Linked DNA regions of Astyanax mexicanus. The main gene of each other region encodes a partner of the protein of the gene in region 4 in a complex. Links are inferred from orthologs where the notes say so. Each region holds a gene or a part of one and is shown on either strand. Other genes may lie near its edges. The genes, in order: cacnb3a, cacnb1, cacnb2a and cacna1c.

Evidence for each region.
Region 1: cacna1c (region 4) and cacnb3a share a complex: the UniProt entries of both Homo sapiens proteins name them as parts of the calcium channel complex. The link is inferred for Astyanax mexicanus from reciprocal best matches to the Homo sapiens genes CACNA1C and CACNB3.
Region 2: cacna1c (region 4) and cacnb1 share a complex: the UniProt entries of both Homo sapiens proteins name them as parts of the calcium channel complex. The link is inferred for Astyanax mexicanus from reciprocal best matches to the Homo sapiens genes CACNA1C and CACNB1.
Region 3: cacna1c (region 4) and cacnb2a share a complex: the UniProt entries of both Homo sapiens proteins name them as parts of the calcium channel complex. The link is inferred for Astyanax mexicanus from reciprocal best matches to the Homo sapiens genes CACNA1C and CACNB2.

What each region holds. Positions count from the first base shown.
Region 1 is NC_064420.1:16,644,621-16,652,802, forward strand, and holds the start of cacnb3a (voltage-dependent L-type calcium channel subunit beta-3a), read left to right. Parts: upstream 1-4,808; 5' UTR 4,809-5,375; coding exon 5,376-5,456; intron 5,457-7,270; coding exon 7,271-7,363; intron 7,364-8,182. UniProt on the Homo sapiens protein: Regulatory subunit of the voltage-gated calcium channel that gives rise to L-type calcium currents. Increases CACNA1B peak calcium current and shifts the voltage dependencies of channel activation and inactivation.
Region 2 is NC_064426.1:27,356,176-27,364,069, forward strand, and holds the start of cacnb1 (voltage-dependent L-type calcium channel subunit beta-1), read left to right. Parts: upstream 1-4,569; 5' UTR 4,570-4,739; coding exon 4,740-4,829; intron 4,830-7,894. UniProt on the Homo sapiens protein: Regulatory subunit of L-type calcium channels. Regulates the activity of L-type calcium channels that contain CACNA1A as pore-forming subunit.
Region 3 is NC_064415.1:32,756,345-32,765,032, forward strand, and holds the start of cacnb2a (voltage-dependent L-type calcium channel subunit beta-1), read left to right. Parts: upstream 1-5,008; 5' UTR 5,009-5,232; coding exon 5,233-5,313; intron 5,314-8,688. UniProt on the Homo sapiens protein: Beta subunit of voltage-dependent calcium channels which contributes to the function of the calcium channel by increasing peak calcium current. Plays a role in shifting voltage dependencies of activation and inactivation of the channel.
Region 4 is NC_064409.1:1,370,301-1,378,532, forward strand, and holds the start of cacna1c (voltage-dependent L-type calcium channel subunit alpha-1C), read left to right. Parts: upstream 1-4,557; 5' UTR 4,558-4,626; coding exon 4,627-4,750; exon of another isoform or gene 4,751-6,424; intron 6,425-6,447; exon of another isoform or gene 6,448-6,592; intron 6,593-6,664; exon of another isoform or gene 6,665-6,897; intron 6,898-6,938; exon of another isoform or gene 6,939-7,475; intron 7,476-7,795; exon of another isoform or gene 7,796-8,232. Other genes in the region: dcp1b (mRNA-decapping enzyme 1B), read right to left, coding at 2,415-2,481. UniProt on the Homo sapiens protein: Pore-forming, alpha-1C subunit of the voltage-gated calcium channel that gives rise to L-type calcium currents. Mediates influx of calcium ions into the cytoplasm, and thereby triggers calcium release from the sarcoplasm.

The DNA.
Region 1 (8,182 bases), on a different chromosome or scaffold from region 4:
TATAACTTTGTGTAGTACTTTTCAAAAGAATGTTGTATGTCTTCCATTTTGTCACACATTTTATTAGTCTGGGGGTCCTTTACTTTTTGTATAAATCTCTCTGCTTGTTGTTTACGCAATCTCCATGCCAATATTTTTTTGAATTTTGGGCCATTCTCATAATAATTTTGTTTAATTAGTTTCAATTTCTGCTCTATTTTATTTTCATACAATTCATTTAAATGTTGCTTTGTATTTCGAATCTGATCTAAAACACTAGCTTCATTATGTATCATGTGTTTACTTTCCAGGTGTTTTAATGTTTCGGTTAAATCTCTAATTTCTTTTCCTCTTTCCTTCTGTTTTTGAGCTGTCCACATTATAAGTTTACCTCTAATTACAGCTTTTGCAGCATCCCACAATATGCTGGGGCTTACTGTTTCATTATTGTTATTAATCATGTAGTCTTCAAATTCTTTCTTTATATATTTTACACACTGAGGGTCATTCAGAACACTGGTGTTAAGCCTCCATGCAGTCTCCTTGGGCATATTGTCCAAATGTAATGTTAAATATACACCTGCATGGTCAGAGATGTCTCTTATCCCTATTTCACAGTTCAGAATCCTATGTCTGTCTGAGTTAAACATGAAAAAATAATCAATCCTTGTATAAACGGAATGCGCATGGGAAAAGAAAGTGAAATGTTTATCAAGTGGATGAAGATCCCTCCACATATCTACCAAACCCGATTCTTTAAGTAATTTATTAATGTATTTTGCATCAGGGTTTATAGTCTTTATTCTACTTGAGGAGTCTAAGGAGGGGTGTAAATGAATATTCCAGTCCCCACCACATATCAGCACCCCTGATGTTTCTAACAATATCATATTAAAAATCTTCTTAATCAGTTTTTTATCGCTACCTGGTGGTCTGTATACATTCAGCAATGTAATTTCTTTGTGATCAAGAAGTCCCTTCACCATTATGTAACGTCCCTCTTTATCGATAATCTGTGATGAAAACTGGAAATTAATTCTGTTTGGGATAAGTATAGCTACCCCTCTTGTGTTTTTCTTTTCAAAAGAAGAATAATATAGGTTTTTAAATCCCATTTTTCGCAACTTCTCATGTTCAATATTCGAAAGATGTGTCTCCTGCCAAAAAATTATATCATGTTTTTCTTTTTTCATTTTAGATATTGCCTTACTTCGTTTGATAGGATTATGTAACCCGTTCACATTAAGAGTAATTATTTTATATTTTTGATGATGCATTTCCCTTGTCAAAGAATGAAAAACTCTTTACCACAGTATTTAAATATCACTAGATGCTTTGAACAATGAATCTGCCTGAAACATAAAAGGAAACTTAACTGACTAATACACAAGTTCAACAAAAGTGACTTCCATTTCTGAAGTATGAACTCAACTTCTGAATTAGGAAGGGAAGCCCTACGACCTAGAGGGGCCCTTCCCTGTGCGATCTGGTATTTCTGGCCGTTCGGCATCAGAACAGTGCACATAAAACGCAAACATCAATCACCAGACATACGGTCAGTTTCAAAGTTTGGGCTTATAACAGGAAATTCTCACGTAAGTTTTATATTTCAGTGTCCAAAGTGTTCAAGTTACTAAATAAGTGCTTTTACCAGATGTTATGGGAAGCTATCCAGTTCTTTAAATGTTTGCGGGCTCTCGTGTAGTATCGGCATGGTGGCGGAATCCCTTCAGCTTCTCCTGAATATGCCTAAATCGAGCCTCGCGTTGCCTGCGTGATGTTCCTCCCGCTGGTTCCCATGAGAGATCTTTCATTCTCAACGAGTGTGCGCCTCGTTCAGTGACCTCAGCTTCAAGAGAGTCTATTCCTCTTTTCTTCAGATCCTCTCTCGCCTCCGCAGCGCTGTTGTAAACAATTGGTCCGGTGTCCAAAAAGACCCGGAGTTTCGCTGGGTAAATGGTCTGGAAACGGAGCCCCCTTTCTTTAAGCGCTTTCCTGATTGTGGAAAAGGCTTTTCTTTTTCCCAGTATTTCAGACGGGTAGTCTTGCTCAAAAAACACCCTTCTGCCACTATGGTGTATCTCCTTCTTTTTCCAAGCGGAGCGGAGCACCAGCTCTTTGGTTTTATACTCCTGGAAACAGACCACTATAGACCTCGGGTTAGAGCCTTGCGGTGGTTTGGGTCCGAGAGACCGGTGGGAGCGCTGTATACCGAGGGTAGCGTCGGGGAGGGACAACTCTGTTGTGATAAACTTTTCCAGAAATACCTCCATATTCTCTCCCTCGGCTCCCTCCACAATCCCATGTATGCGTATATTATTTCTGCGTGAGCGCGCCTCTAGGTCTGTTAGCTGAGCTTGAATGCTCTCCTGGAGCTCCAAAGTGTGGGAGAGCACCTGCTTAGCTTCGGTGCTCCACTCCTCCATTTCGGCTACTCGCTGCTCCGTCTCCTCGACTCTACCAGTTATTTCTTTCAGGTCAGATCTGATAGAGTTCAGCTTCTGATTGACTTCTTCTCTAAAGCCCACCAGTTCCTTTTTCAACATAAGCACAGTTTCGCCGAGTTCTTTTTTCACGTCCGAACGGATCTCCTTTATCTCAGTAATGATGTTAGCTTGGATAGCTTCCATAGCTTGATACTCGGTGAGATTGCTAGCGTCGTCGCTGGCGTTTTCACTTACATTCGAGGGTTTGTCGTCCGTTTTGGGGTTTTGATCCAAATTTCCTCTTGTCTTTCTCTTGTGCCCCCCTTTCATGGCATAAAAAGAAAAAAAAATCTACTTGAATCCTCAGTATTTGTTGAAGGGGGAGTAAGACCGTCTGGGAGCCTGAAACTTAAGCTGCTGCTAGTGTCGGCGCCATACCGGAAGTCATAAGTAAAAGGTTTTAGACTGGCCGGGTCAATCTCAAGACTTAACCCTTTAGATCATGCATTTTTCTTGCTAAAGAGAAGACTAAAGGGAGAAACCTCCCCAAAACTAACCCACCTAAACTTGCTACAATGAAAGAAGAATGCACATGGTTAGTGATGTAACTGCAAACAAAGAATTACAACTAAATTCATTAAAAAAAGGGCTATCTTCTGAACTGTCAGATATCAGATCCAGATGGAAATATCTGGGGGAAAAAAATCTATTTTTTTTATCTTTTGTCTTATGTACATCTTTTAATGTTAAACCCAAATGTTTTCAGACTATAGCAGAAGTGCGATTGTGGTTTATGTCTAGGCTGGGGCAGCATCACTGAAGGATATACACAGTCTTATCCTGAAGCTGCTTCAGTGTTGTACGTGTTGTGCTTTAGGCTGTTGTGATGTTGAAAGGTAAGCTGTCTCCCTGGTCTGAGATTCCGTTTGGACGGAAGGAGCTATTCTTCAGAGATTATCCTGATGTAGTCACTTGTCCCTCAGCTGCTCATTATCAGAATACTGTGCCTTTTGGCCTTTTTATTTTCCTGTCATGCATACATTCACCATGTTATGGCAACCTGCACGACAGGGTGGACAATTGTAGTAAACCTATCGCTTAGGTTGCAGTTGTTGAACTGTTATTTATGACCTTGTTTTGTTTCAAAGATATGTTTTAATTTCCTTTGATCGTTTTCATCTATGTGAAATTTTAGCATGACAGGACTAAATTTATCTCAGGTAAGTATGAAGATATTCAGTGTAATATTTTAGAAAGTGTTTTCAGTCCCTTTAAAATAAAACAGTATGGATTTCTAGTAATACAGTCTTGAGGACACCAGATGGTGCTATGAAACAAGATTAAAACAAAGCCTCGCAATTCGATTAGGATTAAAAGAACCAATAACCATTCCATTACAGTTTTTCTGAATTGTTTACACACATTTTCTGAAAACATGCCTCATATTCACAGAACTCTACACACAAATCCAACAAACACGCACACAATGGGCAAAACCCTTCAGTTCTCCTGCAAAATAAAACTTTACATTCAAAAGTGTTATCTCTTTACAAAAGGGTATTTTGTGTTCAGATGACACACACACACACACACCATCATATAAAAAGACAAGCTAAAAAAGCAGTTGAACACTGATGTTCTCAGTGTAAAACACTATTCTCCATTTATCATAATGACTTTTTGTTCAGTTTTACACTTACTACAGACAGTAAATACATAAGTGCGTTGTAAAATATTTAATAATATCGTTTTTATACTCAGAACACAGAAATATACAGTAAAAATACATTTTATTTTTCCAACCAAAACAATGTACACAGTGTACCATGCAACCACCACAAAGATGCAGTGGTTTACATACAAAACAACAGAAGAATTTATTGTATAATGTAAAACTATGCTGCATCCTGTCTTCTGTTTCGGTCTGCTAAAGCTTAAGTTGCTGATTGTAAACCTGTGTGAAGGGTGTTTGCCCATGTGACCAGTCAGTGTGCATAGTAGGGTAATTAACTTTAAAGTTTTGAATAACAGTGTGTTCCTTGTGAAAACAAGAGATTTTATTCAGGAAAATTGTGCCAAATGCAGAAAATTGTGTATGTGTTTTGAAAAAGTGTGTTTTTTATAACTGCAATTTGAGTGTAAATCAGGAATTGTGCTTGTAGTTTAGCAGAACTGGTTCAAGCAGTAGGTGTGTAAGTTACATGTTGTGGTCATAGTGTCTCAAGTACCAGAAATTGTGTGTAAACAATCCAGAAAAACTGTAAAATATACCTGAATTTGCTTCCAGTTTGAATCACTGGACTGGATGGGGATATAATTTGGGGTGATGATGTGTTTTCTCTTCATTTTAATCTTTTATTTATTATAATACTTATTGTTCATGATGTTGTATTAGAAAGGAACTGGAATATTCTTTATTATACGAAATATCTAAAAAAAACACACACACACATTTTAAGTTCTAAAACAAAGAAAAGTAAGAGAGAGAGAGTGCGAGAGCGGTAGAGATAGAGACAGTGGTAAAAGTAGGGAGAGAGACTGGTAAAGAGAGAGTGAGAAATAGAGTGGTAGGGAGAGTGAGGTAGAGAGATAGTAGAGAGAGAGTGAGTAAGAGAGGTAGAGAGAGATAGAGAAAGAGAGAGTGAGTAAGAGAGGTAGAGAGAGATGGAGAAAGAGAGAGAGTGAGTGGTAGAGTGAGAGAGGTAGAGATAGAGAGAGTGGTAGAGATAGAGAGGTGTAAAGAGAGAGAGAGGATGCGGATCTATCGCTCGGCTCTCTCTCTCTCGGCGCTGGGTCTCTGTGCTCCCCGGGCTCCGGGTTTTTAATGGTTCCGCGGCGGATCAGACCCGCTCTCTCCCGGCTCCAGCGCTGCTCCTGCGGGCGGATGCTCGCTCCGCTCCCCCCGAATGTGCGCGCTCCCTCCGCCTCCTCCGCTCAGCCCCTCGCCCGCCGCCCTGCGCGCGCAGATACATGGTCCAAGTGAAAATGTCCAAATCGGCCGCAGACCCGCTGCCCGGTACCGAGACCGGCTCCCAGTCCCACTATTTTCAGGTAGGTGTAGCCGGGGCCGCTCGCTTGTACTACCGCCGCGGGGAGGGTCTCTCCAGCTCTGGGTTGGCTGGGGCTGGAGCTCCGGGGCAGCAGCAGCGTCTCCTACCGGGGGCTGGATCCACAGCCGCGGCGTGCAGACGCTGCCAGACCCGCCGTTACCGCACCGCGGCCCTTTACGGGCGCAGGGATAGGAGAAGCGGCCCTATAGCCCGGTTTAACCCGGTGAAGCTCACTTTAGCTAAGGGCTGAGATTTCCTCCGCAGCTCTGAGGCCTCCATCACTGCTGTGCTGGGAATTAGCTGACTAGCTTGTGTAGCTTATCTGTGTGTGTGTAGGTACGAGAGTGTGTGTTTGTGTTTATACACGAAAAAACACTTCACAATTGTCCTCTTTCAGAAGAAAAAACAGCTCCATCCATCTTCACCTCGTTTATCACTTAAAGTTCTTCACCTGTAAGCATCATCATCAGCAGCAGCAGCACCCTCCTTCTACACCATCCACACCAGTCAGCAGGAGGCTCCACCGCTCCCAGTAAACACACAGGCTGAAGTTTGGCTGCAGGGAGGCTTTATCTGCAGGTTCCTCCTGTGAAGCTCGACCTAAACCAGTGTTCCTCCACCCTGGTCCCAGTGCCTCCTTGCCCTGCACATATTCATCACTGTCCCTGATCCCAACACACCTGATTCAACCAGTCTGGGCCCAGTTTCCCAAAAGCATCTTAGCATTAAAAACATTTTAACAGAAAGAGAAAGAGCTCAGTGTAAAGCTTGCTCAACCTTTTGGGAAAACCGCCCCAGATCTTTTATAAGCCTTTTTAAAGCAGCAGTGGTGTGTAAAAGCAGGGCAACAAGGCACCAGGACCAAGATCAGGCATGTGAATGTCTCATAATAAATGAGGTTTCTAGGTTTTAGTTAAGCCAGACCCACAGGGGTTAAACCCTGACTGTTTACATTAATTTATTAAAGCAGGTTATTAGAAAACTGTTTTGTAGGATTCATCTGTGAAACGTGAGATGCTAGGAAATGGCTTTATTTAATTAATTCTGTTGATCCAAATGACTATTTTAATGTGATTTTCAAAAAAGAATTGCATATAGATATGCTGCCAGGTGGATCTTATTAGATAGGCTTGTGTTTTTGTCAAAAAAAACTCTTTTATGTTGCAGTGATTTTCATATTTTGCACTTTTCCTTAACTGAAATATAAGGTTATGCTGGCACTGTGTTAAATATACAGTAAAAACTGCTTGTAAGGTTGAAGGGAGCTGCTTGCTATAAAAAATATATATATAGCTAAAGTTTACTACTGTCCTACTAAAAGTGACTTTTTGGTGCAAACAGAAAGAATGATGAATTATAGTAATACCAGACAGGTTACGTTGGTGTGAGATTTAATTCCCAGGTGCACAGGTGGTTTGTGTGGGAAAAAAAATGGTTTTCGAAGGGATGGCACAATTTGTGAAATAATTGTAATAGCAGCATAAAAACTTTATTTCACCGTCTTATACAAATTCAACCAGCAGTTTACTGACAAACAAAATACATATATATATAATATATAAAAATATATATATATTATATATGATATATAAAAATGTATATATAAAAATATATTGTCAGTGGCTATTGTTAAGACATGTACTGTGCCTTCATAAATTTTACTGTTCCAGTCTTCATATTTGTTATAGGCCTATTTCACCTGCATTTAGGGTTTTAGGCCTCAAATCTTGTACAAATTACCAAATTTTGAAAAACACATGTTTTTGTGAAGATGTTTCCCATTTTCTGAGATGTAATTTGTATTTTTTTATGTAGTTGCCGAGAAAGTTGCCAAAACGCAAAAGCCGCTTTAAACGCTCGGATGGCAGCACCTCCTCTGACACCACGTCCAGCTTCATTAAGCGCCAGGTAAGCGCCATCTGTTCATCTGCTGTACCCCTGTGATATGGGGAGGATGTTAGGATAAAATTGAGAAGGATGGTATTCATAATATTAAGCAGAAACCAGAAGTACTTTCACCATCATCTATCTCATCATCACCATCAAAAAATTATATACAGCTCTGGAGAAAAATAAGAGACCGCATAAAATTAATGATGAGTTTCTTTAATTTGACCAAATTGAAAAATTCTGGAATATAATCAAGAGGAAGATGGATAATCAGAAGCCATCAAACCAAGCTCAACTGCTTGAATTTTTGCATCAGGAGTGGCATAAACTTATCAGACTCAGATTCATTTTGTGTTGAGTTTTAAATCCTGAACACTAGAGGGCAGTGTTGACATTAGCTTTCACACATCCACTGTTCTGGTTGTATAAAAGCTAATTTCTTTTCAAAAGAGTGTAATTGTATTCTTATACCATGATTTAATCATTATACCAGGGGCATAAAATGCTCTTAAAGTGACAGTAATATTATTTATCACCATTTGCTCTGGGGCAATATATTAGCTATTGTGGCAAACCTACCCATTATAATGCAAATCATTACTCATATCAGTTTATATCGTGTCAATAATGGAATTATATTGTATTGAATGAAATAAAAAAAGATATTGTGATTTAAGTTTTGGCCATATTGTCCAGCATTAATCGATCACAATATTTAACTAAATATCTCACTTTCAGTTTTTGCAGTATCATGCAGCCCAACATGCTGACACATTTTCTTCTCAGATTCTGATATTACCAGACTGAACATACCAGTATTGGTTCTGATTCTGATTT
Region 2 (7,894 bases), on a different chromosome or scaffold from region 4:
ACCATATATGTGCATATTGGGTGTGGCCTCTCCCTTACTTACCATGTTTGTGTTGTCTGCTGCCCAAAGCTACCTTATCCTTGGCATGCGTTAGTGTGATATATGTGTTGATAGTTGATTGCCTGTTGTAGGCTGGAAGAGCAAGCTACCTTTATTCTGTGTTTCTAGTTGTCACAGTATGTTGTCTTGGAACTATAGTGTTCATTCTTATATATATATATATATATATATATATATATATATATATATATATATATATATATATATATATATATATATAGGCAAAGTTATATATATATATATATATATATATATATATATATATATATAACTTTGCCTATATATATATATATATACAGTGGGTCCAAGAAGTATTTGATCCCTTGCTGATTTTCTTCGTTGGCCCACTAATAAAGACATGATCATTCTATACTTTTAATGGTAGATGTATTCTTACATGGAGAGACAGAATATTAAAAAGAAAATCCAGAAAATAAATCTAAGGAATATATATTAATTGATTTGTATTTCATGGAGTGAAATAAGTATTTGATCCCTTAGTATTCATTAGCAGTTCTGGCTTTTACAGACCAGTTAGACACTCCCAATCAACTTGTTACCTGACCTGAAGCCACCTGTTCTCACTAATCACTTGTGTGAAAAACACCTGTCCACAGAATCAGACAGATCACACAGATTTCAAGTCTCCAACATGGGTAAAACCAAAGAGCTGTCACAGGACCTCAGAGTCAGAATCGTTGACCTTCACAAAGCTGGAATGGGCTACAAAAAGATTAGTAAGGTGTTGGATGTGAAAGTAACAACTATTGGTGCAATTATCAGAAAGTTTAAAGAGTATAACATGACAATCAACAGACCTCGGCCCGGTGCTCCAAAGAAGATTTCGCCTCGTGGGGTGGCAATGATGCTGAGAACGGTCAGAAATCGTCCTGCAACCACTCGGCAGGAGTTAGCAAATGACCTGAAGGCAGCTGGGACCACAGTTTGCAAGGAAACAATTGGCAACACTTTGCGCAACAATGGATTCACATCCTGCAGTGCCCGAAAGGTACCCCTGCTGAAGAGAGCACATGTGGAGGCGCGCCTCAAGTATGCCAATGATCATTTGAAAGATGAACCAAGTTATTGGGAGAAGGTTTTGTGGTCAGACGAGACCAAAATTGAACTTTTTGGCCTCAACTCCACCCGCCATGTGTGGAGGAAGAAAAATGCTACCTATGACCCCAAGAACACTGTGCCCACCGTCAAGCATGGAGGTGGAAGCATAATGTTTTGGGGGTGTTTCTCTGCCAAGGGTACAGGGCTACTTCACCGCATCACTGGGAAGATGGATGGAGCCATGTACCGCAAAATCCTGAGGGACAACCTCCTCCCCTCTGCCAGGGATCTGAAAATGGGCCGTGGTTGGGTCTTCCAACATGATAACGACCCTAAACATACAGCAAAGGATTGGCTCAAGAAAAATCACATTAAGGTCATGGAGTGGCCCAGCCAGTCGCCAGACCTCAATCCGATCGAAAATCTATGGAGGGAGCTGAAGGTCAGAGTTGCCAAGCGACAGCCCACCAACCTTCATGATTTAGAGAGGATCTGCAAAGAAGAGTGGGCCAAAATTCCCCCTGGTGTGTGTGCTAAACTTGTGGTTAACTACAACAAACGTCTCACCGCTGTGCTTGCAAACAAAGGCTTTGCCACTAAGTATTGAGTGTGTTTGGCAAGAGGGATCAAATACTTATTTTCCTCATTGAAATACAAATTAATTAAAATTATATTCTTTAAAATTATATTCTGGATTTTTGTCTTGATATTCTGTCTCTCCATGTTAGAATATATCTACCATTAAAAGTGCAGAAGGATAGTGTCTTTATTAGTGGGCAAACAAAGAAAATCAGCAAGGGATCAAATACTTCTTGGACTCACTGTATATATATATATATATATATATATATATATATACAGGTGCTGGTCAACGAATTAGAATAATTTGAAATAGTGCAATCATGAAATTCTTTGAATGCATTTTTTGTGCAGAAAGCAAATCAGGTGTTCACCGCACCTGTCCTACTCGTTAGACTAATCACAGAACTCGTTACCTGGAAAAAAATTTGCTCAGCTGAGCTTTCCAAAAGGCCCATTTAGGCCATTTAACTGTGACACTGTTGTTTTATTGAATTAGAATAATGGAGAAACCGTTTCATTGAATTAGAATAATTTTTATTATAATTACAATCATCACTTTCTCAGTATTTTGTGGCTGCCCCCTTGGCTTGTATGACTGCCTGAAGTCTCCGCGGCATCGATTTGACCAGCTTGTCGCAAGTTTCCGCACTCACAGCTTCCCAGGCAGTGGCGATGTTCTGCTTCAGTTGGTCCAGCGTAGTAGGCTTTCTGTCGCGAATTTTCCGCTTGACGATGGCCCAAAGGTCTTCAATGACATTGAGGTCAGGCGAGTTGGCCGGCCATGCCAAAACTTCAAGCTGTTTTTAAGTGAACCAATCTTTGGTCGACTTTGCCGCATGAGCGGTGCAAGATCCTGTTGAAATATGAAGTCTTCTTCGCCGAACTGTTCCTCAACAGTCGGAATCAGGAACGTTTCCAGAACATCTTGATATACGGCAGCATTGACCGTCTTCTTGAGGAAGCAGAGTTTCCCTACACCTCGAGCGGACATGCATCCCCAGACCATAACGCTCTGGGAAAACTTGATGGATCTTTTCACGCACTCGTGGTTGTAGGTTTCGCCACCACGACGCCAGACACGAGGACCTTGGTCACCGAAGGAGATGCAGAAGCGTGATTCGTCACTGAAGACCACTTTCTGCCAGTCTTCAGCAGTCCACTCGCCGTGTTCTTTGGCCCACTTCAGCCGTTTCTCCATTTGTTTCTTGTTCAGCATCGGTTTTACTGCTGGAACGCGAGATTTGAAGCCGAGTTCGCGCAGACGACGGTAAGTGGTTGATCTGGAGACGTCAGCGCCGGTCTGCTTGTTCCACAAGTCGGTGAGCTCGGAAGTGGACTTGAACCGGTTGCTGACTGCGATCTTTCTCAGCTGCTTGTTGTCGCGAGCAGAAGTTTTTCGGACGCCGGAACAGTTGGTGCGCTTGCTGCAGTTTTTCTTGAGAGCTTTGCAGACGGAAGACTGGCTGATGCCGAGCTGCTCAGCAATTTTAGTTTGGGTCAAGCCTTGTTGGCGAAGGGCTTGAATTTGAGCCACTATTCCGGTTGAGAGGTCGCGCTGCTTACCCATGATTGATTTTACAACTTAGAAATTCTACTCAACCCTGACTTTATACTGCACAGTGAACACTCTTCACAGAAAACAAAAATTCGAGCATTTATTCTAATTCAATGAAACGGTTTCTCCATTATTCTAATTCAATAAAACAACAGTGTCACAGTTAAATGGCCTAAATGGGCCTTTTGGAAAGCTCAGCTGAGCAAATTTTTTTCCAGGTAACGAGTTCTGTGATTAGTCTAACGAGTAGGACAGGTGCGGTGAACACCTGATTTGCTTTCTGCACAAAAAATGCATTCAAAGAATTTCATGATTGCACTATTTCAAATTATTCTAATTCGTTGACCAGCACCTGTATATATATATATATATATATATATATATATATATATATATATATATATATATGAATATATAAGCAAATTATACTAACAGATGCAAATATATACAGTAAACAGCAACGAGAATTTCTCATTTTTAGGTAAGTAGGTTGTGTCCTGAGCCAATCTGTAGAACAAAGTGTAGTTCCACATTTCTCCTGGATGCCAGCATGTGTAAATGTTCAGTTCTGTTAGCAGCTTACCTGATTTATCATCAGTATGTTTTGATTCGCCAAACCAGGTGTTGATATGATGAGAACTAGAAACAACACTACTAAACTTGAATGAGGGGAGATTAGGAGATGTTGTAAGGAAAACAGTGATGTTAAAGCTTTTTGCTGTTGATTCAAGTTATCATCTGGCTTTGATTAATTTAAGTTGAATAAACATGTACATGTACAACTTAACTAAGTCAAATCAAAAGGATGACTAAGTTAAGTTGTATAGACTTAAAATTGTATATATTTACAACTTAACTGAGTCAAATCAAAATGATAACTTGACTGAGATACATTCAATAAACTTAAAATTCTATATATTTACAACTTAACTGAGTCAAATTAAAATTAAAACTTGACTCAGTTAAGGTGAATATACTTCACATTGTATATATTTTCAATTTAACTGAGTCTAATCAAAATGAAAACTTGACTCCATTAAGTTGAATAAACTTCAAATTATCTATATTTACAATTTAACTGAGTCAAATCAAAATGAAAACCTGACTAAAATAAGTTAAACAGACTTTAAATTGTATAAATATATTGAACCAATAAAAACAATTCAGTGTCCCTAAAGCTGCAGCGCGTGAGTTACAGCGCAGGAGCCGTTCAGTTGTATTAAGAAGAAATAATAAGAGGAACAAGCCCCGCCCCTTCGCCGGGCTGATTGATTGATGTGTGAAGAAGGGCGGGGCGTGGTCTCTCCGCTTTAACAGCTGGGAGGCTGGAGCTCCAGTGGAGAAGCAACACGGTGGAGCGTACGGTGCGACCAGATGAACATGTTCTGACAATGAACGCAGAGAAAACCGGAGAAAACAGCCAGAGAAAATACCCAGCGCGCTGTAAATGAAACACCAGACCACGGCTTAGCAGTAGAAATCAATGGTACAGAAAGGCATGTCCAGGACGCCTTCCACCTCCACACAGGAAATCCAGATGGACATGTTCGACCACCACGGATCCCACTCGCAGGTAAGAGAGAGAGAGAGGAGAGAAAAACGGGATGCACACCTGCTGCTGATCTGCTGATGCTGTGGATGCTTTGCTTTGCTTTAAAAAGGAATGTAGTGTGTGTGTGGGTTAGTTTTCTGCTGTGTAGATCAGTCCTATACGTTAGCTTAAGTTCTTACTCGCCTTATCTGCTGTGTTTTATCATGAGAAAATAATATAAATTTAAAAAACTCACAACAAAGAACCCAGCAGTTAGCTAAAGCTACTTTAGCATTGACAGCATTTATATCAGTGAATATACTGTACATATAACATGTTATATATGATTTGTTAAAGAGCTCATTTGCTCAAGACTCCATCTAAACTAGGTTAGCTTAACCTCCCCCCTTCAGAAAATGTCTTATTCACGCTTCAATTGGAAATATATAAGCTAATATAAGGCTGAAACCAACCTGTACTGCTTTCACAAGGCTCTCTGTGTGTGTTTGAATTATCGGACAGGTGAATATTAAGCACTTTTAGTGTAGTAATAAATAAGCGCTCAGTGGGTCTTGTTCCAGTGTGTGATGTTCCATAGCATATATAAAACATGATGTCATTTTGCTGCTACTGCTGCTTGATACATTATGACCACGCCCACGTGTAAACACACAAACATACGTACACACTCAAACACACAAAGTGTTGTTGGTATATACAGCTCTATACAAAAAATAAGAGACCACTTTAGTTTCTGAATCCGTTTCTCTGATTTTGCTATTTATAGGTATATGTTTGAGTAAAATGAACTTGTGATGAGTGTTGTTTTATTCTATAAACTACAGACAACATTTCTCCCAAATTCCAAATAAAAATATTGTAATTTAGAGCATTTATTTGCGGAAAATTAGAAATGGCTAAAATAACAAAAAAGATGCAGAGCTTTCAGAAATCAAATGATTAAGAAAGAAACAAAACAAGTTCATATTGTAAAGTTTTAATACTTCAATTAATAAATCAATATTTGGTGTAATAACCCTGGTTTTTAATCACAGTTTATATGCATCTTGGAATGTTCTCCTCCACCAGTCTTACACACTGCTTTTGGATAACTTTATGCCACTCCTGGTGCAAAGATTCAAGCAGTTCAGCTTAGTTTGATTGCTTAATTTGGTGTCCAAATGTGGTAAAATCAAAGAAACTCATAATATTTAAGTGATCTCTTCTTTTTTCCCCAGAGCTATATGTGTGTACACACACATAAACACTCACTCACTCACACTTAGGCTACTTGTCATATAACCTACCTTTAAGAAAAATGCTCTTCTAATTGTTCCCTTTTAATGAGTTTCATTTGAAAGAAGATTTGTTACATTGGTTTAACAAACTTAAATCAAAGGTTATTTACTAATTAATATCTTCTTTAAACAAATCACAGCTCATTTTTGAGTATGAAACTTTATCCAAAAATGAATGGTTCTTAGGGGTATGCCTTGTATATCGTATGATACACAATATTTCGTGACAGAATAATATTGAGATTTTGAAAAAAGCCATTTCTTAACAATAGCAATATCTTGAAAATATCATGATATTATTTTAGGGCCATATCGCCCACTCCTAATATTTATTCTATGCTGTGGCATTGCTCAAAGAATAATGTGTAGCACCTTTATTATTAAATATGTAATACTAAGTAGAGATCTTCTTTATTTTACGTCTTCGCTATATTCTTTAGGCCCATTTAGTCCAAACTATGTTTCCAACACAGATGCACATAGCCTTGTCACAATAACGATGTGTAGATGATATATTGCCCCAGAAATAATTGTGATAAATTATATTATTGTCATTTTATTACCAAAATAGTTTAATAAAAAATGCTAGCAAGTTAAAATATTGTTTCTCAAAAATGGATTTACAGGAACCTGTTGAACTTTTAATGGAAGTTATTATAAAAATGTTACTACATACTATTTAGTCTGTGATCTCATTACATGGTTTTTGTCCTTTCTTGCTTTTAAATGTCTCACATCTTCACAATTTGCCCTAGTCTGTACAATTAATAAATTACGACTAATCAGCAAAAATAGTCACTTCACATTTCACTGTTTGTTTATAAAGATTGTCACTAAAGTGTGGATATTTATATACATCATACCCCACTTTTTAGCTGCCAGCAGTTTATCCCTACCTTTTCACCCTGAAGTTATAAGAAGTGTTTCAGCCTGGGCTGTATTTAGAAATAAATAAAGCACAGTGTGGCCAATCAGAACAGTCAAAAAAGTTTCTTATTGAGTTATGAGAAGTCTAGTTGCTAAGTTGCTGCCAATATGATCCTAGGAACACCAGTTTGAAGCAGCCAGAGTCAGAGAGAACTAAAATGGGCATGCTCTCTCTCTGTGAGTTCTGTCTTTCCTCCATCACTCCTAACTAAATGTTGGTCCACACTGGCTACTGTTGACTGATGTATCAAGAGCTGGGTCACTGTGCTTTCCTCTGATCATCCTGGCTACTCAGTAATGCTAAATCAGTGGCAGTTTGAAAGGAGGCAGTGGCTGCTTTCACATGTATCGGGTGAGGCATGTACAAGTCTTCACCCTCTTTGTGTTAGGGGTATTGCAAGTGATGGGTGATGGGGGAGGACTAAGAAGTAGGTCTTCCATATTGGAAAGAAAATGCTCAAATGATCATACAAAACCTCACAAAAATGAAACAGACAAATTCAGAATTTGGGCCCTTTAATTGCTTCAAGTTATTAGTCATTAAGAAACACTATATTTTGCTTTTAGAGTAGGGAAAAAACACTGAAATTTGCAGGGCATGGCATCCTAAGGAATAACTACGAGAAGCTCTGTTGAAGTACATTTATTTGAGGGAAATTCTGCTTGAATCCTGGCGTGGGTGACAGCGTGTCTCTGATTGAAAGCAGAACATTCACCATTCAGAGCTGAACAGAAGTGGACCTGCTGTCATGTACTCTCGTTGTAACCTTTTCCGGTCGTATTTCTCTTCTGCTTTCCTCTGCTCTTTTTTTTTTTTTTACACCTATTCACCATTCCTTTAGATCCAGGTCTGTTTAGGTGATACCTGTTATATGATACAAT
Region 3 (8,688 bases), on a different chromosome or scaffold from region 4:
TTATTTATTTTGACAAACCAGTGGATATATTTTTCTTTGTGTGAATGGAAAATAACATGGCCTATGTCCCTAGCTTTGCCAGGCAACTTTGTATATATTATAACAGAGAGAATAGTTCTAAATGTTCAATAATAACATTGTTAGTATGAAAAGTTATAGAGACAGAAAATACTTACAAACATATTTATTTACAATTCAGTAATTAATTTTAAATCAATAATTGAAACAAACTATTCTTTTGACACGGCATCAGAATTAATACATTTTTTACTAGTTTAGGATGACATAACATATTTGCAAAAAATAACTAAATTTGCCTACAGCAATTTCTTGCAGCATATAGCATGGATCTGGTGTGTCAGCGTAACCATCATGTTGGAGGTGGCAACCTGCGCCACCAGTGCATTAATTTACACTGAGACAGGTGAATGATACACCAATAATAATCACAAGTCAATCACAATGGTATGGTTTATTACAAACAGCAGAGATGTAGTAATGATTCAGGATGCTGTCACACATTACAAATACCTGCTTTCATGCTGAAATACTATGTATTATGCTCTTTAACAAAGGCAGACATATGGTGTAGCATATTAATAAGTGTATAAATTAATTAATTTTTATATTAATATGTACATACATACACATATATACATAAATATACACAACAGACAACAAGACTCAGTAGTAGATGGTATATAATTCTTTAATTTAAACATTACAGTCGCTGTTGATGACATATTATTTTTATTTTAGCTTTTGTAGAAGTGTCAACATAAGCATTTACTCAATAAAAATGTAAAAGTACTGGTTTACCACAGGAGCCTATAGTGCACTACCCCCACCCATAACACCTTTAGTTAAAGTTCAAACTAACAATCAGAACATAGAGAAAATGTGATTCTGAGTGTGGCGTGATTGTTGGTACATTCTGGCCCCAGATATAATCTAATCGGCCCCCTGAAGTGCCCTTGTTACTCATCTGTCCTTTGCTCAAGAATGAACATCAGAATTTAACCATCATGGTTAAAGCTTATGTTGGAGAGATGTTATTAGATGTTAAACTGACAGTATTTGAATAAATGAATAAAATACAGGATTTTCTGTCTTTAAGATTATTTTACTCTATATACAGCAAAAAATAAAGTAAGATTGTTGTTTGTCTGATTTTAGAAATAATGATTTATAATTTCTAAGTCAGTAATTTAGCAGTGATGTGAGCACAACACTGCTACCAGAGGTTCTGATTACACACTAAGAAAAGTAAGTACGGATTTGTACTTAAAAGAGTACAAAGCTTGTCGCTGGGGCTGTACCTTATATTGAGGTACAAAAAAGTACCTTTCAGTGAAAGTCCTTTTTTGTACCCATGGTTTTTGTGCCAATAAAGATGATAAAGATTATAAACATTATCATCAACTAAATATGGCTCAAAAATTTGATGATCCAAATTTTTCTGGCTTTCAAATGAAAAATGTGCAATTAAAATATTTATTGTTAATTAGTACAGTGATACAGAATACTGAATGTACCTTTTGTCTGGTTAAATGGTACAAATTTGTACTTATTGGTGTTAGAAATTACTTTGTTCTTCAGCGGGAACAAATCTGACCCTGTAAAGACCAATATGGTACCATTGAGGGTACAATTATGAAGAGTGTACCTTTGAGTACAAAAAAGTACTCATATCGTACCTCTGTTGTGTAAGGTGACCTTCAACCTTTCAGGATGGTGGTAAAACAACAAAGAATCAGTGCTGGATGGAATACTGTGTATAAAGCGTTAACAGTGTTAACAGTGGAGGTGCTGCTGTTGGTTGTTTGTGCACATTTTTTAAACTTGTAATCTATATTCATTCTACTTAGAACAATGCTTTTTGTTGTTCTATCATAGCAAAATGACTACTTTGCTAGTGCAGGTGAAAGCCTCAGCCATTTCTCATGCCTCTCAAACAACACAGCACTTCAGCGTGATGTGCTGATCACATGAAATAAATGTTTTGATACTGTGGACTGTTTTTGAGTAGTTTTAAATGTGTATTTTGTTTTTATTGTGAAAATTACTACTGTGCTGTAGTTCCCACACCAACCAGCAGAGAGAGCTATGCTGACAAATGGGCTGTACATTTACTGGGGCTTCTGCTGCAGCCTCTCATTACCCTGTTAAATCTTTAACTCTATTAGTGAATATTCTGGTGTATATATTAATATTCCTGAGAAACATATATGGTATTAAACTTACTCTTTCAATTAAATAAGTCTGGGTTTGTTCATTATATATATTATTTATTATATTTTAATAAATACACAAACAGTTTAATTATTCAGAACAAATGTCATGCATACATGTCTCATATTACCAAATAACAACAGTGTCTGTTTTATATTATACATTTTTATATTATATATATGAATTCAGTGAGTACTTTATTGGATATACAGCTCTGTAAAAGAGACCAGTTTCTGAATCACTTTCTCTGATTTTGCTATTTATAGGTATATGTTTGAGTAAAATTAACATTGATGTTTTATTCTATAAACTACAGACAACATTTCTCCCAAACTCCAAATGAAAATATTGTAATTTAGAGCATTTATTTGCAGAAAATGAGAAATGACTGAAAAAACAAAACAGATGCAGAGCTTTCAGACCTCAAATAATGCAAAGAAAACAAGTTCATATTCATAAAGTTTTAAGAGTTCAGAAATCAATATTTGGTGGAATAACCCTGTTTTTTAATCACAGTTTTTATGCATCTTGGCATGTTCTCCTCCACCACTCCTTCACACTGCTTTTGGATAACTTTATGCCACTCCGAGTGCACAAATTCAAGCAGTTCAGCTCAGTTTGATGGTTGTGATCATTCATTGTCCTCTTGATTATATTCCAGAGGTTTTTAATTTGGTAAAATAAAAAAACTCATCATTTTAAGCAATCTCTTATTTTTTCCAGAGCTGTGTCTCCAAATCAGCTCATTTATCTAATTATTGCATCAGCCATTTGTGTGTCAGCAGATATAGCCTGGCAGTTTTAGTTAAAGGTAAAACTAACAATAAGAAGAGAAAATGTGATTCTGAGTGTGGCGTGATTGTTGGTACGTAATGGCCCAGATTGAAATCTAATTGGCCCCCTGAAGTGCCCTTTTTACTCATCTGTCCTAAACATCAGATTATAGGTTGATGCAATTTCATGTCCAAACGCCAATTAAGAATGTCCAGCATGATTACATCTTATTTAGGAGAGATGTTATTAGATGTTGAACTGACATTTTATAAAAAAGTAAAACATTTTTTAAAAATGAATAAAATGCAGGATTTATTGTGTTTGAGATTATTTTACTCTATATACAGCAAAAAATCATGTAACATTGGTAATTTTGTGCCAAAAGTTTAAACATATATAAAATATCAAATCAAAATTACAGATTATACATACATAAGCATAAAATAGATTCCAGAAGCAAAGTCTAAATAAAATACACAAAAACACATAAATAAAAGCAAAGACTGACAAAGTCCATATGCAAATAATAATGAAAAACAAAATTGGCACAAAATTAACTTTTAAATTACATTTTTGTTTGAACATGGTGAGACTGGTTAAATAATACCTGGCTCCTCTATTATTACTGTGGCCCTTGTGGCCCTTACTTAAAACAAATCCTACATCTGCCACTGCCTGGGAGTATCAGCATTGGTAGAAACTGATGGGAGAAAAAAAGTCAAGGAAACAGTCTTCAGTCAAAGATACATGCAAAAAAAGGTAAAACAGACTCAAGTGATGGCACTTTTAAGGCACTTTTACCCTAACCTAATCCTTTGAATACTTTTTCATGTCAACTCTGAACTTCTAACTCTCTTAACATCAGCCCCCATATTTCTTAAATGCTCTTAATGCAAATGTATTGCAAATGTATTGGAATGTCAAGTCAAGTCAATTTTCACAAAGATTTGAATGTTGTTGTTTTTTTTTGTATTTGCCAAATGAATTTTTAAAAAGATTTGGATCATTTAAAAAAAACAAAAAGTTTTTCAAGTCTGTTTTTTTAAAAGATTCAAATCATTTTTTAAAGTATTTCAAGTCTATTTTAAAACGTCCCAGCTCGCACACAACCGACCTTTAACGTTGAACTGTAGTTGAAATATGACTGAAACAATGTACTGTGTTGTTTCAACGTTGAAACAACGTTGAATAAACATTTAATGTTCAATGGTTGTGCTAACGTTGAAATTTTAACATTGAATCAACATAATGTCCTCAACCTTCTGCCTTTTGAATCAGCATTTTAAATTTCATCACCATATCATTTCTACAAACGGTTGGATGGAGAAATGAAAAAGTGTTTTACTTCTATTTGCACGAACTGCTTTTTAATTTAACATAATCATCTTGTTTTAATAGTTTTACTGTTTTAGTGTTTTTGAGATCAGATGTTAAATCAGATTGGCATGAGTAACTTTCTTTATACTCAGCTTTACTACAGTGGTGTAAGTTTATTGTTAACACTTTGTAAACCATAGGATTTTCTAGTTTTAGTGAGCTATGGTTTATTAAATGTTGAATGTATGACATTAAAACAACGTTGCTATATCAACGTTGATTCACTTTTCAAAATCAACGTTGATTCAACCATAACATCTACGTTGATTAACGTTGGTTCAACGTTTATTCAACGTTGAAATGCCAAGTCAATTTTCAAAATTATTCAAATATATATTTTTAATTGGTCATGTCAGTTTTCAAAAAGATTAAACTTCGTACATAAAAAAAACTGATCATTTTTTTTAAGTTTTTTTTTTTTTTTTTAGAATCTTTTAAACCTGAAGGTTAGGGGCTTCGTTAGTCTCAGCTAATGTAATAAGACGCTTATGATGGTCTTTATAACTCCGCCCCTTCACAGATTCACAGACTCTAAACTCCACGCGTTTCTAAACTCGGCTCTGCTGTGCGCGTGAGCGGAATGGAGAGGCGGGGGAGTCCACGCGCGGCGCTTCGGACCCTCATAAGCGGCAGCGCGCGCTCCTGTCTCTCTCCACAGCGCGTGCTCCTCTCAAAGCCGCTCGGTTATGCTGGCTGAGCTGAAGCCGGGGGGCGGGTTCAGTCTGAGAGTCTGCTTGTAAACTTTTCCACACTCTTCTCTCACCGGCGGACTGAGAGATAACTACAGAACCGGCCTTTAAACCTGCCTTCAGCCGCCCTGTCTGACCGCTCCTCTCCACACTCTGTCCAATGGTTTTAACCAGCATGCCCAAAACACCCTCAAACTCGGTGGAGAAACATCTGGACGGAGTGGAGAACCCCGCGGTGCAGGTAGGGAGGGCTCCAGAGTCTTTATCAGTTCAGAACTGACTGAGAAGAGGAAACCAGTTTAGACCGGTGATGAGTGTGGCAGTGAGGTGTGGGGCAGTAATATGTATGGTGGCAGTGAGGTGTGATTGTGAGATGTGTGGTAGTGAGGAGTGTGGTGATAATGAGGTGTGTGGTAGTGATAGGTCTGGTGGTAGTGATGAGTAATAGTAAGGTTTGGCGTAGTGAGGTGTATGGTAGTGATGATTGTGGAGGTAGTGAGATGTGTGGTAATGAGGTGTGTGGTAGTGATGATTGTGGTGGTAGTGAGGTGTGTGGTAGTGATGATTGTAGTGGTAGTGAGGTGTGTGGTAGTGAGGTTTGGGGTAGTAAGGTGTGTGGTGGTAGTGAGATGTGTGGTAATGAGGTGTGTGGTAGTGATGATTGTCGTGGTAGTGATGAGTCTGGTGGTAATGATGAGTAGTATTAAGGTATGGGGTAGTAAGGTGTGTGGTAGTGAGGTGGTGGGTAGTGGGACGTGTGGCAATGAGGTGTGTGGTAGTGATGATCGTAGTGGTAGTGAGGTGTGTGGTAGTGAGGTTTGGGGTAGTACGGTGTGTGGTGGTAGTGAGATGTGTGGTAATGTTGATTACCAGTGTGTGGTAGTGATGATTGTGGTGGTAGTGATGAGTCTGGTGGTAATGATTAGTATTGAGGTGTGTGGTAGTGAGGTGTGTGGTGGTAGTGGGATGTGTGGCAATGGGGTGTGTGGTAGTGATGATTGAAGTGGTAGTGAGGTTTGGGGTAGTAAGGTGTGTGGTGGTAGTGAGATGTGTGGTAATGAGGTGTGTGGTAGTAATGAGTGTGGGGGTAGTAAGGTGTGTGGTGGTAGTGAGATGTGTGGTAATGATGAGTAGTAGTAAGGTTTGGGGTAGTGAGGTGTGATTGTGAGATGTGTGGTAGTGAGGAGTGTGGTGATAATGAGGTGTGTGGTAGTCTGGTGGTAGTGATGAGTAATAGTAAGGTTTGGCGTAGTGAGGTGTGTGGTAGTGATGATTGTGGAGGTAGTGAGATGTGTGGTAATGAGGTGTGTGGTAGTGATGATTGTGGTGGTAGTGAGGTGTGTGGTAGTGATGATTGTGGAGGTAGTGGGATGTGTGGCAATGAGGTGTGTGGTAGTGATGATTGTAGTGGTAGTGAGGTGTGTGGTAGTGATGATTGTGGTGGTAGTGATGAGTCTGGTGGTAATGATGAGTAGTATTAAGGTATGGGGTAGTAAGGTGTGTGGTAATGAGGTGGTGGTAGTGGGACGTGTGGCAATGAGGTGTGTGGTAGTGATGATCGTAGTGGTAGTGAGGTGGGTAGTACGGTGTGTGGTGGTAGTGAGATGTGTGGTAAAATAGGGCAATAAGGGCTAAAATGTTTATCCTTTGTCTCATATTTGTGTCATCTTTTAATGTCAAACCCAAATGTTTTTTTAGTGTACAGCAGAAACATATCTATATGTTTGTCTAATCGTCTCTCGGCCTATATATCAATCTGTGCCAGTGAAAGTCAAAGAAGCTATTGTAAGAACAGAAAATAAAAATAAAACCATGAGAGAACAAACTTGGGGTTACCTATCCGTAAATTTTGGGATTACTAAAATCAAATGTCTTGAATCTTATTTGGGAGAAATAAACTGTCAATTGGCTGTCTGTTAATGTATATTTAGGAGGTAGGTGTGTATCTGCAAAAGACTTCAAAAAACAGAAAATACAGAGGGCAGTATGTCCAGATGTCTGTGAAACATGGTGGTGGGAGTGGCATGGTTTGGGCATGTATGGCTGCGTGCCACAGTAATACACTAATGGAACAGCATAATGATATCTGAGATGTATAGGATGAACAAGATGTCAAACAAGCAAAAGCTGAAAATATATGTTCTAGAGCAGGGGTGTCCAAACGGCCCGTGGGGCATTTGCGGCCCGTTTCCTTTTTTGGAGCGGCCCGCGAGGTATTTTAGAAATAGAATGAAAGTTGGCCCGCTGTTAAGCAGGTTTTTATAATGTGAGATTCAACGTTTGAACGCTAGGTGTCATAAAAAGTCTAAAAGCGGAGAGGGTGCGCATTTCTAGCGCAGAACAACGGGGCAAAAGAGTCTAAATGCAGACAGAGTGCGCATTTCTAGCGCAGAAACACGGGGCAAAAGAGTCTAAAAGCGGAGAGAGTGCGTATTTCTAGCGCAGAAAAACGTGCCAAAGAGTATATAAGCGTAGGCGGGGCAAAAGAGTCTAAAAGCGGAGAGAGTGCGCATTTGTAGCTCAGAAAAATGGGCCAAAGAGTCTAAAAGCGGAGAGGGTGCGCATTTCTAGCGCAGACAACCCGGCCAAAGAGTCTAAAAGCGGATAGAGTGCGCATTTGTAGCTCAGAAAAATGGGCCAAAGAGTCTAAAAGCGGAGAGGGTGCGCATTTCTAGCGCAGACAACCCGGCCAAAGAGTCTAAAAGCGGATAGAGTGCGCATTTCTAGCGCAGACAAATGGGCCAAAGAGTCTAAAAGCAGAGAGGGTGCGCATTTCTAGCGCAGACAAACGGGCCCAAGCGTCTAAAAGCGGAGAGAGTGCGCATTTCTAGCGCAGAAAAACGGGCCAAAGAGTCTAAAAGCGGAGAGAGTGCGCATTTCTAGCGCAGAAAAACGGGCCAAAGAGTCTAAAAGCGGAGAGGGTGCGCATTTCTAGCGCAGAAAAATAGGCCAAAGAGTCTAAAAGTTGCCGTAATTAAGGAGTTTAATATTAAGAGACATCATGAAATTAAACATCAATTTGAAAAATCTTAGTTTACACAACACTGTCAAAGATAATGATAGTAAGTCAAGTAAAATGGCGTGTAAATGAAATAGTCAGGAAAAAAAGTTTTATTTAAAGTGGAATATTTCATGATTTGTTTTATTACAGAGTGTGACTTCAAATATATTTCTCCTTCTGGCCCCCAACAAAAAGTTTGGACACCCCTATTCTAAAGGCTTTCTCTCCTTTCTCTTTTCTCTGTTTTGTCTTGTCTTTGCAACCCTGTTTACACCTGGACACTTTATGTGATTAGTAGTTGTACTGGGAGGGGTTTTGGTATAATCCTGATATTTAAGACGCAAAAAGTGAAAAGGTGTGAATGGGGTCTATCTGTCTATTAGGTGTGTGCCGTATCGTATCACTTGCAATAAAATTGGCAAACAATTTAGCGTGATAAAAACTTCATATCTTGGTATGATGATGTTCTTGAAAGCACTCTATTTAGTATTTTTAATCACACTGCATATGTTATAATCATATTAACAAGAACGTCTTTATCGCAAAAATACACGAAAATATTAAAATATTATTTTATAGTCATATTGCCCAATTCCCACCCTACTTGCTGTCTTT
Region 4 (8,232 bases):
TTTATTTATGCTTTATTCTTATTCTTATTTTATATTTATTTCCATTTAATTGTTATTCTCTTACATGTTTATTTTGACTCTCTGTGTATTTTCTCGTTTGTAAAGCACTTTGAATGACCGTTGTGTATGAAAGGTGCTGTATAAACACCCCTTTCCTTATGGTCCAGTCACTCCAGTCATACAGTCTAATATACTAGCCAAAGAAATATCATATTTCAGTAGAAGATGCCTCATTAATCTTATTTTAAAGACATGTACAGTTTGAGAACTTTGTAAATCTATATGAAAATGTCATTCCTTATCTGCACACCTTTACAAACTGTAAATTAGAGTAATAGATCAACAGTTTTGCATCAGAGAGAACACTAGCTGCTTCTAAAGGGAAAATACTCATATAATACTTGTATTAAAAAGTACTTTTAGACTAACTGTTTGTTCTGTGGTTCAGACGTGGTTATTGGAGGAATACAGAGGAGCTCCAAGGCTAACAAAAGAGAATAAAATCTATAAGAAGAGTGGAGAATGTAATTTATGTTGCTTTTATATATAATTAGGTACCACTTTAAAATATGGTTAGTAATTGGTTTATAAAGGAGTTTATTAATGGTCATTAATTCGGCTATGAACCATTAACAAGCAGATACAACACCAAATGATCTTACTTATTGTCTTTTCCATCAGTCATCATTAACATTTCTGTAAATAACTTTATTCATTTAGCTATAATAACATATTAAAGGACTGAACTGACTTTCTATTGTATTTTTTTATTACATGTTAAAAACGTTATTGTCACTGTTGTTCTTTCTATTTATGTGCTTATCAATTATTTTTTTAAGTATTTAAAACGTTACAAACATTAATTAAATTCTTTCTAAACTATTTATAAACCCTTTATGAAGGAGCTTTATTTTAAAGTGGAACCTATAACTGTTAGTTGTGTGTTTTGTTTAAAAGTGTGTGTGTGTGTGTGTGTACAGTGTGTGTGTGATGGTTATAGGATGTTTATAGGTGGTGGGGGGTTTATCTCTGGGGGGGTCAGATGGTCTCTGTGGTACTCTGTGATTATATACAGGATTTCTGCTGCAGTTTAATGAGTGGTGCCTGATTTAGGCCTCTGTTGGTATTTTAGTTTATTTTTTTATTTTTCCACTGAAATAAAATCTATAATTAGATTTTCCAGTGGTGGTGATAATGGTACGATGTTCGGGTTTCAGTCGGTTCATGAGAACAGCTTTTCTGCTGCTGATTATCTCTATAAAAATAATTCTATTGTTTAGTTTTTTGGTAAACTTTGTTGCTGGTTTCACTGCAATCTGAATAAGTGAGGATGGTGGATGGATCGAACTGAATGATTTCAGGTGGAATAAACTCTATACATGTTCTAATATAAAAAGTTATATCAAGAATTGCTATTATTATTACCAAACAGGATAAACGAAAGAATTAATTATTATACAAAAAAGTATAGTGGTATGAAAAATAATACTATAAAATCTAGCAAATAAATTAAATTTCCTGAAATAATTAATAGTTTTTCTTATTTCCACTGCATTAGAATCATAAGTGTAATATTTAAAATTTAAAATTAAGCTTTTTATTTCATAAACCATCTTAAAACTATAAAAAAAAAACATGATTAAAAGTGGTCCAAATCACTTAAATCATTAAATTAGCAAAAATAAAAAAATAAAAATGTGCTGTTACTTTGCCTCAATATCTCTAGTATTACCATTTTACCAGTGTTTTTGCAGTGGGCGGGGCCAAGTTACTGTTTTATTGGTTTATAAACTTATTTATTGGCTGGTTCATGATCTATTCATTTAAAATTTAAAACATTTAAAAATAAAGAAAATACATGATGTCCACTCTAATGGATGTACAGGGTCTGAAAGGGTTAATATTAAATAAAATAAAAAGGCAAAACACTAATTAAATATAATTAAATATAAAGGAGACATAAGATTGTGCATCACTTTAAATGGTGCTGTTTTTAGCAAAAACTAATACCAAAAACTGAAGTTGTTATATAAGAAATAAAAATCTAAATCGTATATTTGAAGAATATTGAGATAATTATTTGTCTTTTTATAATATCGCCCAGTCCTTACTACAGTCACGGACAAAAAAACAGGACAATAGGTACAGTTTTAAAACCCTGTGCTGTAGATTTTACAAGTTTCCCCCGTACCACTGTTAAATTGCTTTATTTAAACAGTTTTAAATAAACACCGCTCTGCTAAAAGCTCTTAAAGAAACAGACAATTTATGGTGATTTTAGTACAGCGGCACAGTGATAAAAATGAAATAATAATAAAGAATTGACCACAGTTGTAACCCAATCTATTTTAGTTTCACTAAACTAAATCAGGACGTCTCTAAAAACAGTAATTTTATTTATTAGAAACACTTACCTTTTCATCAGTTCAGCGATGCGCTGGCAGTCCTCCTTATCATAGAACCAGATCCCATAGATGGACACTGTAGGAAGAGATATCATACAACATTTTAAGCAATGATTTGAGTAAATAGGTAAATTAGAAATAAAGAAAATATCAATATTTTGATATCTTAAATCTTATGATACAATACTAGTGATAGGGGCATAGAGTTACCCATACAAAGAAATCACAATTTTTACACCATTAACAAACTCAAAGTAGCCTAAAAATTAATTCTTAGGAATGAGTTTCAGTAACCATTAAACCAAACTGAACTGCTTGAATTTTTACACCAGGAGTAAAGCAGCATAAAGTTATCCAAAAGCAGTGTGTAAGACTGGTGGAGGAGAACATGATGCCAAGATGCATGAAATTAAAACTGTGATTAAAAACCACCAGGATTATTCCACCAAATATTGATTTCTGACTCTTAAAACTTTATGAATATGAACTTTTTTTCTTTGCATTTATGACAATATTTTTATTTGGAATTTGGGAGAAATGTTGTCTGTAGTTTATAGAATAAAACAACAATGGTCTTTTTTTTCTCAAACATAAACCTATAAATAGCAAAATCAGAGAAACTGATTCAGAAACTTGCAAGAAATGCAAAGAAAACAAGTTCATATTCATAAAGTTTTAAGTGTTCAGAAATCAATATTTGGTGGAATATTCCTGGTGGTTTTTAATCAGTTTATTTCATGCATCTTGGCATAATGTTCTCCTCCACCAGTCTTACACACTGCTTTTGGATAACTTTATGCTGCTTTACTCCTGGTGCAAAAAATCAAGCAGTTCAGTTTGGTGGTTTGATGGTTTGTGATCATCCATCTTCCTCTTGATTATATTCCAGAGGTTTTTTAATTTGGTAAAATCAAAGAAACTCATAGTTTTTAAGTTACAACAAGTAAATGGCTCCCATTGGATGGAATGGCTCAATAGCAATATTAGCTTGGGTGCTGTTGGTTGGCTGCTGTCGGTTGGGTGCTGTCGGCTGGGTGCTGTCGGCTGGGTGCTGTCGGCTGGGTGCTGTCGGCTGGGTGCTGTCGGCTGGGTGCTGGTGGTTGGGGTGCTGGTGGTTGGGGTGCTGGTGGTTGGGGTGCTGGTGGTTGGGGTGCTGGTGGTTGGGAGCTGTTGGTTGGGTGCTGTTGGGTTGTTTGGGTGCTGTTGGGTTGGTTGGGTGCTGTTGGGTTGGTTGGGTGCTGTTGGGTTGGTTGGGTGCTGTTGGGTTGGTTGGGTGCTGTTGGGTTGTTTGGGTGCTGTTGTTTGGGTGCTGTTGGGTTGGTTGGGTGCTGTTGGGTTAGTTGGGTGCTGTTGGTTGGGTGCTGTTGGTTGGGTGCTGTTGGTTGGGTGCTGTTGGTTGGGTGCTGTTGGTTGGGTGCAGTGTTTCAGGAACACATGCTGTGGTCCTGACAGTTTGAGAAGGACCACTTCCCCTCACCTCCACTAATCTACAGCCCGAGCGAGATACCAGAACCCAAATTGGGACGGAGGAGATAACAGAGATAACTCCACCGCTCCGCCTGTTAAGTGGGGGGAGGTGGAGGAAAAAAGAAAGATGTAAAAAAGAAAGAACAAACTCTTCACTGCTGCAGCGTCTCCACCACTCTCCGAGAGCTCTGCTGAGCTTTAAGTAGAGTCACTGCCTGGGTCAGCGCTTGGGAACGAACCCAAACAAACGACTGATCCCTGGGAAAGAGGGAATATTATTCACATAGCTGGGTGAGAGAGAGAGAACGAGGGAAGAGCCAGAGAGAGAGAGAGAGAGCAACAGAGAGAGAGAGAGACTCACTGTAGGACAAGGTGCCATAAAAAGCGAAGTTGGTGGAGTGCAAGAGGACAAAGAGGAGGAGGCGTACGAAAGTACGTACGGAAGCACTATTAGAGTTCTTCTTCTTCTTTTTTCTTTATCTTTATCTTCTTCTTCACGTGGAAAAACAACATCAGCAGCAGCAGCAACTACATCTCTTCTCGAACTCCATCTCCATGAAACGAGTGCAGAACGAGGGAAAGAAGAAGCCAGACACAACTTAAGACCCCAGGAAACACATGGGCGCATTTTTCTCGAAAATCTCGCCGCGTCTTCTTCGCCGCTTCTTTTCTCCATCGCTCGAGCTTCAGCAGCTTTAAGGACGTACGTATCTGAGGGATAACTGAGGGATAACTGAGGGATAACTGAGGAACAATGCTACGCAGGCTTTTCCAGAGGAAGCTGAAGCACCAGCGCTTGCAGGAGGAGCCAGAGGTGCGCTTCAAAGGGAAACTCATCTCCGAGAAAGAGCTGGGATATACCTACGTAAAGCCAGGAGGTAAGAAACCGAACTCGAGACGCCTGCCTGCACTCAGGCATTATTAACCCGAGCGATGGTGTTTGTATTAAGAGCAGAGGACATTCTCCAGCTCTGCATTTCTGGCGTGACTGTGTAGGTGATGGATGAGCCGTTTGCTACCGAAGTTGAACGGCAGCCCAACAACAGTAGAGAATCCAAGATATCCTGCTGTGTAAAGCGTGCAAAAAGTTTCAGGGGTGGGCGATACGTCCCTAAAATTACGATATTCACAATATTTTATTGTATTTTCGCAATAATGAAACGAAACTTCTGACTTTTGTTATAAATCTGAAAAAAACTCTTGTATTGTTTAAATATCTCTATTGATATTTATGACAGAAAACCCCTCCTGTTACTGAAACTCACTCCTGTTACTTTTTATATTTTGAATAACAACAGGACTGAGTTTTTTTAGCATAGAATTAGCAAAAACATGAAAAACAGCTAAATATCGGCTATGCTAACAGCATGAGGACACTGCTACCAAAGTTGAAGATATCCTGCTGTGTAAAGCGTGCAAAAAGTTTCAGGGATGAGTGATACTAAAATAACGATATTCGCGATAACGAAACAAAACATGGTGATATGACAAAACACTGAATTAAAAAAATATTTTACTATTGTATGTGATATGAAATGGCACACCCTTAACTGAGATATTTAAAAATAAAAAATAATAATAATTATAAGAATGAAATAAAGAAATCAGTATAATGGTGATATTGTATATCCATTCTAAAAATCACCAATCAGCTAAATATTAAAATATATATATATACATATCATGTATCTTCATTCAGCTAAAAAATATTGATACATATATACATATATAATTTTTTTTGCTGAATTGCGATATACAATATTTATATATCAATATTTTTTAGTTGAATGAAGAGTTTTTACAATACAGCTGAAAAAAAATTAGATAAATAAATATCGTATATGACCATTTAGCTAAAAAAAAAAAAATCAAAATATATATATGGTATATCACCAGTCAGCTAAAATTAGTTTTGAGCCATATCATCAAGCCCTAGATAAAATACAGTTTTACTGACTGTTTCCTGTGATCATTTTACAAATATTCACCTATAAAACAGCTTTTTCTCAATGACATCACCTTTTCTCACAGTGAGCTCCACCTACCCGCCGTACTTTACAGTGTGTGTGTGTGTGTGTGTGTGTGTGTGTGTGACTCAGAGCAGGGTTTTGTTATCTTATCGGAGCTCTGTGATTGGGTGAGCTAATGCTGGCAGTGTTCTCTCAGCTCTGCCGCTCACATTCCTCCACACCATAAAAGGAGCTGTGGCTCCGGGTTCCTCTCCCTCAGCCCTGTCCCACTGCCAGCTCTCCCTCTCCCCCAGCACCTCCATCACCTACACCACCTCCACCTACCATCATACAGCACCTCCATCACCTACACCACCTCCACCCACCACCTACATCACCTCCACCCACCACCATACATCTCCTCCACCCATCATCATATATCTCCTCCACCCACGTCATACATCTCCTCCACCCATCATCATACATCTCTTCCATCTCCTCCACCCACCATCATACATCTCCTCCACCCATCATCATACATCTCCTCCATCACCTACACCACCTCCACCTACCATCATACAGCACCTCCATCACCTACACCACCTCCACCTACCACCATACAGCACCTCCATCACCTACACCACCTCCACCCACCACCTACATCACCTCCACCCACCACCATACATCTCCTCCACCCATCATCATACATCTCCTCCATCACCTACACCACCTCCACCTACCATCATACAGCACCTCCATCACCTACACCACCTCCACCTACCACCATACAGCACCTCCATCACCTCCACCACCTCCACCCACCACCTACATCACCTCCACCACCTCCACCCACCACCTACATCACCTCCACCCACCACCATACATCTCCTCCACCCATCATCATATATCTCCTCCACCCACGTCATACATCTCCTCCACCCATCATCATACATCTCTTCCATCTCCTCCACCCACCATCATACATCTCCTCCACCCATCATCATACATCTCCTCCATCACCTACACCACCTCCACCTACCATCATACAGCACCTCCATCACCTACACCACCTCCACCTACCACCATACAGCACCTCCATCACCTACACCTCCTCCACCCACCACCTACATCACCTCCACCCACCACCATACATCTCCTCCACCCATCATCATATATCTCTTCCATCTCCTCCACCCACGTCATACATCTCCTCCACCCATCATCATACATCTCTTCCATCTCCTCCACCCACCATCATACATCTCCTCCACCCATCATCATACATCTCCTCCATCTCCTCCACCCACCATCATACATCTCCTCCATCACCTCCACCCACCATCATACATCTCCTCCATCACCTCCACCCACCATCACACATCTCCTCCACCCATCATCATACATCTCCTCCATCTCCTCCACCCACCATCATACATCTCCTCCATCACCTCCACCCACCATCATACATCTCCTCCATCACCTCCACCCACCATCACACATCTCCTCCACCCACCATCATACATCTCCTCCATCACCTCCACCCACCATCATACATCTCCTCCATCACCTCCACCCACCATCATACATCTCCTCCATCACCTCCACCCACCATCACACATCTCCTCCACCCACCATCATACATCTCCTCCATCACCTCCACTCACCATCATACATCTCCTCCACCCATCATCATACATCTCCTCCACCCATCATCATATATCTCCTCCACCCACGTCATACATCTCCTCCACCATCATACATCTCCTCCATCCACCATCATACATCTCCTCCACCCATCCTCATACATCTCCTCCATCACCTCCACCCACCATCACACATCTCCTCCACCCATCATCATACATCTCCTCCACCCACCATCATACATCTCCTCCATCACCTCCACCCACCATCATACATCTCCTCCACCCACCATCATACAGCTCCTCCATCACCATCATACATCTCCTCCATCACCTCCACCCACCATCACACATCTCCTCCACCCACCATCATACATCTCCTCCATCACCTCCACTCACCATCATACATCTCCTCCACCCATCATCATACATCTCCTCCACCCATCATCATATATCTCCTCCACCCACGTCATACATCTCCTCCACCATCATCATACATCTCCTCCATCCACCATCATACATCTCCTCCACCCATCATCATACATCTCCTCCATCTCCTCCACCCACCATCATACATCTCCTCCATCACCTCCACCCACCATCATACATCTCCTCCATCTCCTCCACCCACCATCATACATCTCCTCCATCTCCTCCACCCACCATCATACATCTCCTCCATCACCTCCACCCACCATCATACATCTCCTCCATCACCTCCACCCACCATCATACATCTCCTCCACCCACCACCATACATCTCCTACATCT